Linked DNA regions of Drosophila melanogaster. The protein of the gene in region 1 interacts with the protein of each later gene in a pairwise test. Each region holds a gene or a part of one and is shown in the gene's direction. Other genes may lie near its edges.

The links.
Region 2: the proteins of fd19B (region 1) and CG12391 interact in a two-hybrid assay, tested with the Drosophila melanogaster proteins (one large-scale study listed by BioGRID).

The regions. Positions count from the first base shown.
Region 1 is NC_004354.4:20,090,503-20,094,468, reverse strand, and holds fd19B (forkhead domain 19B), read left to right. Parts: upstream 1-2,060; 5' UTR 2,061-2,083; coding exon 2,084-2,866; 3' UTR 2,867-3,041; downstream 3,042-3,966. Other genes in the region: Or19b (odorant receptor 19b), read right to left, coding at 1-71.
Region 2 is NT_033778.4:11,146,857-11,152,562, reverse strand, and holds CG12391 (uncharacterized protein), read left to right. Parts: upstream 1-2,494; 5' UTR 2,495-2,785; coding exon 2,786-2,962; intron 2,963-3,051; coding exon 3,052-4,638; 3' UTR 4,639-4,961; downstream 4,962-5,706.

The DNA.
Region 1 (3,966 bases):
ATTCCCATAATCCTGAAGATGCGCCAGTGGTTAACCAGAGCCCTCGTTGAATCCACCTTCGATATGTCCATGGTTGTTCGCCTCTTTGAAGCAGCTCTCCGCGTTCCGACCTTTTTATATTCATCCAATAAGCCACCTATGCCGCAAATTATGCAAATTGCTGCAAATTACACCGAAAAAGTTCGATTTTGAACCACCACCAGCAATTACAATGACAATCATTTTTCGCAAATCAATCTCCTCCTTATCATCATTAGCGCCACTTAGCTTTCTGGTAAATGAAAAGGTTTTTATAATTATTCCCACACTTTTGTTTAAATTTTTTTTTTAAAGCGTTATTTTATCTAAAGCGTTGTGTTCAACGGCGTGAAAGGTTTGGCCGATTTGTGGGCGTGGCAAATAGTTGTTTGGCAAATCGCTGCGATGGGAGATAGCTTAGTTAACGAAGATAAGGCTGCATAGCTGCGGTGGCGCATAGTTGAACTGTGTCTTCAAAATTCTGGCGGCTGCGAGACGCGACAAAGGAAGTGAAACATTTTTATACTCGTTACTCGAAGAGTAAAAGGGTATACTCGATATAAAGTATATACATTCTTGATCCGGATCAATAGCCGTGTCGAGCTGGCGATTTGGTCCATCCGTCGGTCATTTCGTATGAACGTCTCGATCTCAGGAACTATAGAAGATGTTCTTTTACATTTTTGTTAGTTCTATAGATTTTATCGATTTGCCAAACAACTTTTCGGCACGCCCACCATCCGCCCACTACTGCCACGCTCACACTTTTGAAAGATGTGTAGATTTTTCTTCGTTTTATTGTTTATTTTGTAAATTTCTACCGCCATACCAAAAACACATTGGTTACGCCATTCCTTACACCTACTTTTGAATAATTTGAAACAATTTTTCTCATTCTATTCCCCAATATCTATTCCCATTCCCCCTAACTGAGTAACTGGTATCTGATAGTCGGGTAACTCGACCATAGCATTCTCTCTTGTTTAAACATAAAATTTCGGAACAATTCATAACAATTTTCCCGTTTGAATAACATTTGATTTTAGAATTTTTGACAAATTATATCTATAATATATAATATCATTTATTTCGAATATGGCTTCATTACATATCTTGGTTTTTGAATTTTGGCATGTAAGATGTTATTCCACTTTTACTCCCATTTTTTTATACAGTAGTATACAGTTTTGAAGAGAATTGAAATACATTTTAATCAAGATATAAATGGTTAGTAGTCTCTCTAAAATAACGATACCCAGAGCATGTGTATAGTACTCGTAGTATATATCCAGCTGTATGAGAAATTTGTAAGTGGAAAAACACGACATCTTATTAATACATTAGTCTGAAATTTATTCACATGGGAATGCTTAAAATAAAAGATTATACCGGAAAAGAAATGATCAAATACAACAGAGTAATTTTTGAGAACTTTCCTATTGGTTTTTTATTAATAACAGAAAAACGTATTATTTTCTAGGGAATCGGAATTTCAATATTTTGGAAATATAAAGAACTCCATTTGATTATAAAGACAGCAAATTAGGCATATTTGTAATTATCATCGCGTTTACAGTCAGAAAAGTACCAATATTGCAATTGAGTAGAAATATTCCTAATATGATTATGGTGACGTTGACATCCGAAGCTAAATCCCATTCGTCTTGAAAGGGCTTACAACAAATTCCGTATTTTTCCAGTGTGAAAAGGTATGAAACCCAAAAACGACATCCATGCAGGAGGCGCTAAGGGACGGAGGACGAGGACGATGGCTCCAGGGTCAGGTAGAAATAATCCAATTTAGAAACCGCTAGTCCAGCGCTAATCCGAAAACGTTTGCGACTCCCGTTCCCGTAGATGTGGATCAATGAATGAATCCGAAGGCTTTCATGAATCTGTTTGCGCGGCGATTAAAAGGGGAATGGATCGCTAATCCGCGTCCCAGGATACACGGGTAATCCTCGAGTTCAGCCTCTTCCTCTCGTATAAATAGATCGGCGGCCGGTGGACTGGTCACAGTCGTTTTACGAACTCAAACAGTGACACATATTGCAATATTATTACGATGGATACGACACCAATCTTCCAGTCCAGCTTCTCCATCCGATCGCTGCTCTCCGTGGACAAAAAGGAGGAGTCCCCCATTTCGAAGCACAACTCAGGAAGCAGCTTCAGCTCATGCTCGAGCTCCAGTTCCAACTCCAGCTCGGATTCGATGGCTGCAAAGAGCAATGCAAAGCCGGCTTTCACCTACAGCGCCCTCATAGTGATGGCCATCTGGAGCAGCTCCGAGAAGCGTTTGACCCTAAGCGGGATCTGCAAGTGGATCGCGGACAACTTCCCGTACTATCGCACCCGCAAGAGCGTCTGGCAGAACTCGATCCGGCACAACCTGAGTCTCAATCCGTTCTTCGTTCGGGTGCCGCGAGCTCTCGATGATCCTGGACGTGGCCACTACTGGGCACTCGATCCGTATGCCGAGGATCTGTCCATTGGCGAGACGACGGGACGCCTGCGCCGCAGCAATTGGCAGCAGAATACGGGGGCGAGACCCAAGGTCACAGGTCATCCCTATCAGCGAATGCCATATTATGGGCACGGGCACGGTAACGGCCCATATATCAAGGCACACAGCGCCTACTTCCCCATAATGGACCATCAACACCATGCCGCCATGGTGCAGCACTACCAGGCCATGATGCACAGATACCAGATGATGCCACATCCTCACCATCACCAGCATCAGCATCAGCATCAGCATCCTCATTCTCATTTCATTCAGCAATCAAAGCCCCTTCATATCCAGGAGCCATATCATCATACCCGCTACCATCTTCACCAAGAGTGAATTTCAGCAGTCTTAGAGGCGTGAAAACTCACTCAAAGACTACGAACTGTGAAAATTCCTTCTTGGCGTAGAACGCGGCAATGTTTTTAGCTTTAAATCATGTAGGGTAATATCCATAGAAACTATGCCCAGGCTTTAAAATATATCGTAGTAAACGTTACGTGCATTCTCATACAAAACTTTAGGTTGTTTTCAAATAAAGATGATTCGACATTCGAAGAATAGTGCGAAATTTTTATTGTATTTTGGTTTAGTGATTTATATATTTTGCTTATTTAAAAATTGAATTAATATTAACTGCCATTGAAAAATAAAACTTAATATCCGAAGAACTTTGTTCTTTTTTCTTAAATAAAATAGGGCATTTTCTGAAGACAATAATTTTGCATTTATATTGGACTTAAAACCGATTTGTACGAATATTGATTTAATTCCAGCAAAGTCCATATGCTAGTTTTTGTTTTGTGATATTCATGTGCGTTTCGTCACTACGTGAAACCCTAACCAACCGCAAAGCCCATGTATTGTTACAGCAGGTACATGCTACAACTGCTTTTTTTTTTTGGTTTTTAATTGCATCCCTGAAAACACTTGAATATTTCAACACAATTTAAATAAAGGACTTCCCAGCTGGTCTCGAGGATCCCAACTAGCCGCTATTCCGGGAAGTTTTCAACTGTTGAAAACTGTCGGTTGAAGCTGCATCGCCACGTTGGATACCACATCCAAATGCCGGCTGTAAATGACTTAAGTGCCTGGCATTTATCTGCTAAAACGTGTCCTGCTTTCGTCCTTGTCATCGTCACAGTTATTCACTTGGCTTTACTTGTTCGAGTGACAGCAGCCGACTCGTTGTTGCCGCTGTCACACCTGTTAAGTAAGTGAATCGGGCAGTGGGTGTACTTGGATGCGGCTACGGCTGCGGATGTGGATAGGGATGGGGATGGGGATGGGGATGGGGACTTTGATAGGGGGCCATAGTTGCGCAAACATTCAACTTTTTTGGCCACGCGAGAGGTTTTACATTAAATTCATTTGGCCGCACGAACAACAACAGAGTGAGTGCGCAATTGAATGCCAAATGACTTTGAAACTTCTCG
Region 2 (5,706 bases), on another chromosome or scaffold:
CAGTAATAATCATTGATGCATTAATATTGGGTTTCTTCCAAGAAGAACAATTTCCCTACGAATTTAAGAAAATTTTTAAAGCTTATATATACATATAATATATAATCACAGTGTGTGTGTGTGCACAAGTCGATATGCGTGTGCAAATTAGATTTACTGGCATGTCAGATACGTGCCCATATTGATGGATCAGCTGCCTCTCAGCTGCCAGGTGGAAATCCCATTGTGGAAAAGTTAATTTTTATGTTCAAAGTTTTCCACCTGCCATCTAGTTAATAAACTTTCCGGGGGGAAACCTTCAGCATATATATAATTGGCAGTCTTCACATACATACATACTCGTTTTCGTTTGGATGCAAATTGAAGTGTAGCCTAATATTTGCACTAAATAACCGACGTATTTTAATTTCCTTAACTATTCGAGCACTTAATTCAGGTTATGAGTTTAAATGGAAAATTAAAAGCATCTGGTTGAAAAGCATCCGGGTGAAAATTAAAGATGGGGTGGGTGCAACTCATTAAATTAAGTTGTGCAAAACATCAAGTGGTAAAATAAATCTCATCTAAAATATAAAATAAATCTCGTTAGAACTCATTCCCGTGGGTAAAAGATAGTTATTTGTACAAACATGCAATGTCAATGTTTAATTTTTTGAATATGAAATAAGATTAATTAGACTGATAGTTAATATAAAATGATAATTAAAATAGGCTTTTTTTCCGCGGAGTGATTGCCATTATATTATGTAACTGAACATTGGTTGTGCTGGCGGCATCTTTTCGTAATTGTCGTGTAACAGGTGAAAGGAATGTGGCTGCTGAAAAACACTCAATAGATAATTAAATGCTTATAATATGAGTTCGTTCTAATTATCACCACAATTAGAATGTATTCTATTATATGTTTTTGATGTGCCCTTTAATGTGCGCACGTGAACGCCAGTGGGTAGGTTGAAATCCATTCAAATCCTCGACGGGTTCAGGAATACATATAATATATATGTATGTACATATATATAGGCTTAAGCCTTCCCAAGGAGCATATGCTGCCTGTTTGTCTTTTGTGCATAATTAATCACTGAGTGACGCCGCCGGGAGTTGAATTGTGTTGTGCTGACATGGCCATGCTTTTTTATCACTGCCACAGTCTCCTGGCCGCTAAATTTATCTCTTTTCTAGGAGTCGCCTTCGCGTCCCTGTCCTTGCAACATCCGGCAACATAAGCGATTCCCTGCGAGTGGGTGGACGTGAAGGCGACCAGGAGGTGAAAAGCTCTAGCCGGTAAAACGATGTTAATGTCAAGTAGATCTCGGAGCACGTCTTGCTGCGATAATTGTTGGCGTAAATCATGTCGAAGAGCAACAGAATTACGTCCCAGACAGACACATACTATCCTTGTGGGCATATTGTACACGAAGAAATCAATGTGTCATACTCACACTTTTATCTTTAGCCCGAGGGTACTTCACATTAAAAGAGTGATTTCGATCAACTTTAAAAAGTAACTATAGAATAAAATTCTTATTGTTGGATCTGAAATTAAAGCAAGCGAAAAAATAATAATAATACAGCCAAAAAGATGCTCTAAAACAAAGAAATAAGTAAAGGACAGACAGAAAGATTTCATTAGTCCGAAATTTGTCATTAACTTATTACGTTTTAATTACTCAACTTATCACTTGATTGATTACTCAACTTATCACTTGATCTATTTGATAGAAGTATTTCAAGTTACTGCAACATTTTCTCGCAGTGTAGTGTCTGCGCTAATGGATTGTGTCCTTCGCAAAGTTCGGGCATTTCCGCGGACATTTCTCTTTGCGGCCACAGGACGTAATTGAAATAAATATTTTTCTGTAGTGTTCCCTTCAGAGCGGTGGAATATTTTTGAAGAGCCACTTTATTGAAATTTGTTTGCTTATTTGCATTTCTTGTACTGGGAATTGATTGAAATTGAAGAATGTAAACTCAAGTAATACGGGGTATTTGCCAACATTTAAGGCATGGAATTCTAAAAGCCAGATTAAGTGTTGTGGCAAAAGGAAAAACAAAGTGTTGCATGGTTGATGCTGGTTCATGTAAGAGGCATTACTCAAATTAATGCGCACAGCAGCGGGTGAAAAATTATGCAAATCACGTAATTTTTATTTCGCCGTGTTGAAAAGTCAAGACGACATGCTTTTTGTTTCAAACGGCTGCTTTTAAGGGGGGTGGCCTATGTATTGTGCCCACTTTTATTGCAAACACGCGCGTAGGTTTCCCTTTTGCAGACAGAAGGTGCATGTATTACTGACACTTTGCGCCTTCTCCTAAACTTTATTTCGGTTTTATTGTTTTAAGCTTTCGTTTTGGGCTGCTGAATTATGTTATTTGCGAGCATTCTTTAAATAACGAATTTCCTTTACTTTTCAAATTACGCGCCCGCTGTGCAACCCTGCGCACGTTATCGATTGCCAGTGGGCATGCGCACAACTATCGATTACCGATGACAAACAGCTGTGTACCTATACTTATCCAATATGGCTGCAAGTAAAAAAAATTGTAACGCTGTGAAAAAACTGCAATTTGAATTGCATTTTCCGCTTGAGTATTAGATAGAAAAGTGCGAGAAATGTGAATTTGTGCAAACGAAAGTGGAACACTATCCGAAAATCAAGTGCGCGCCAAGAAATCGAAGCGAAAAAGTGAATATCGAAAAAGTCGCCGGTGCCCCGCCAAAAAAAAGAAGACTCCCCCACTCCACTTGAAAACATTTCTCTGCGGAAATAAGGAAAATACTGCGAAAATGGAAGCCGACATAACGCCCCTGGCGGAAACCAACGGAGAGCAGCGCCAAAATCCCCAGGAAAGTGCTCAAAACCAAGAGCAACCGCAACCGCGGCAGGATTTGGCGGGCAAGTCGGTGGGTTCCGCTGATGATGGCGTCTCCGGAACTGTGGGACAGATTATGGATTACCTCGAGGTGCGCCCGGCTTTAAAAGACTTGGAAAAGCTTGTGAAACTCATACATATATATATATATATGTTTGTTTATTTTTATTTATATTATAGGACGATGCCGGTGCAACTGCCGACCAGGACGCGGAGATGGGCGAGGCAGAGTATCTGGATGGCGAGATGCCGCAGGAGGATGAGAGCGAGACTCCGCAAACGGAGAAAGCCAATGAAGGTTGCCAGGAATCAAGCAATAAGAAGGATTTGCAAGAATCTGCAGCTAAAGATGATTTTTCCAAGGAAAAAAGTGGAGAGGATGGTGAAAAAGACACCGACAAGGAGAAGAAGGCAACTCATTTACATGAAGATAACAACGATGATGCCGAAAAGGATGGCGACGAGGCCGACGCAGAGGATGAAGACGATGTAGAGAAGCCAGAAGATGAGGATGGCACCGAAGAAGGCGACGAGGCCATTGAAGAAGATGAGGACGCTCTCGATGAAGATGAGGATCCCAACGAAGAAGTCGAGGAAATTGAACCAGATTTCGAGACTGGCACCGATGCAGAAGGTGAACTAATCACTGGCGATGAGCCGGGCGATCTGGCCGATGTGCCCATTAGGGAGCGCAAGAAAGAGGAACCCGTGGACGAAGACCAGTGCCGCGTTTGCACCAGCAAGGAAGAGCTAGTCTGCCTGTTTAAGAAGCAAATCGATGCCACGCCCGCGGACATGCTGCTGGTCATCTGTCCTAATGTCTCGATTTTGCCCAAGGACTTTATGCCGCAATTCATATGCACCAAGTGCATGGGCAGCCTTACCATTGCCATACAGCTGAGAAAGCAGCTGGAGACCACGGACCAGGAGCTGCGCAAGCGTTTGTCCCGAAGCAAGAATAAAGTGCGAAGACCCCGCGGCTATGTGGTCATAGACGCACCTGTCACCGATTCCAGTGAGGATGAGGATGAGCTCGATGATGAGTTCAAGGTATCCGATGTAGCCGGAACCACGAGTGCCGACAGCGATTCTGCCGATTCGGATGACAGTGAGAAGGAGAAAAAGAAGCCCGGACCACGTGGGCGTCCTCGAAAAAAGCCACTCAAGAGAGGCACGGACAGCGATGGGGAGCCTTCCAGCGCCCAAAAGAAGAAATACCAGCCCTCTTCGACGGCTTCAGTGGGCCCATTCGAGTGTCCCAACTGCGACTTGACGTTCTCGCGCAAACAATCCTATGTGCTGCATCGTAAGACTCACGAGAGAATAGAGCATGCCTGTCCCATCTGCGGCAAGAAGTTCAAGGTGGAGTGGGCCTATAAAACGCACATGCAACGGCACGAGCAGGAGCGCGCCCATTTCCGCTGCGAGCTGTGCCCCAAGATATTCCGACTGCGCGCGGAACTGAAGCACCATATGGCCCAGCGACACGACGAGCATGGCTTCATTTACGAGTGCAAGCGCTGCCAGCGGACGTTCCTCACCCAGCAGCGACTGCAGCGTCACCAGGCCGTCGGTTGTCAGCGGCACAAGGAGGATAGCGTTCGCATCAAGGAGGAGCAGTCGCGGTTCAAGCAGGAGTCGCGCAGCAAGGACGACCGCCATCATGGCAACAACAGCAGCAAACGCCGTCCCGGCGAAGGACGGGATCTTTTCAAGGCTGTGGCCCCACCAACAACCACCTATTGGAGCGATAGCTTCTCGGACTAAAAAAACCAAGGTGCGGCGGCTTGCGGATTTCAATTCAATAATTTCTAATGAACGATTTTAAGTTTCTCTAGCTGTAGGAAGAATTCAGTGCAAATAAATCACATTTGTAATAAATACAAAATAACACTAGTGGAAGTTTTGAGTACATGTAAACTTCTCAAGCTAAGTAAGTAAGCGAAAAGGCAAAATAAAAAGTTCGATTAATGGCAGATTGGAAAATATTGACTTAGACGCTAAGATTTTCATTTGTTCCTAAGGACACCATTAGATTATAAATACTTCAAACATATAAGATTCGCTGTTAAAATAAACACTATGTTTGGAATAAGTGCGTCGTAACTTACATGGAGTGCGCTGCTCCTCAGTGACCCACAATGCTTTCCTTTTGAACCCCTTTTAATTGGATCCCAAAGCGTTTGCTCGCCAAATGGCAGCACTTAGTGCCGCCGAGCTAAAGAACAACCAACTGCAGTTCTGCACAATCTTGGCCATAATGTGGCGTTCTAATGTTTATAATTTCGCTTGTGGAGCATAACTAGGAGTGTTTAACTACTGGGGATTACTTTGGACCCAAGCTGGGGGTCTTTAGTGTAGACTTGCAGCATATATGTGCATAAGCGGAGCACTAAGTGTGGTTACTCACAACTTTCAGATCCGTGTACAATTCTTATCAGGTATTTCAGAAAGGTTTGGTAAGAAAAATGCTGTAGTACTTCAAGCAACTAATTTGGACCACAAAATTTGCACTTTTCCAAGAAAGTTTTACTCATGGCCGGAAGGAAAACGAACTGAGTTGCAACGTTTTAGTTATAATTTTAAACTGTAAGCCAATAAACTAAGTTATTTGTGTAAGCCTAATTTGTAAGCCGTAATTTATGCAAAATTGTTAAGCTTTTCTTTTGGGTTTCTGTGGGAAGTTTTGTTGTGATTGCAGTGAGTTTTTAGGGCTAAATTTAAAACTCTTTAAATTGAATTGAAGACACACGTTTGACTTTAACATTTATTTACATAGCAATCGGGAATTGTTTGGGCAGGAAATCTGATGCACGTGCGAATGTTTCGGCAATG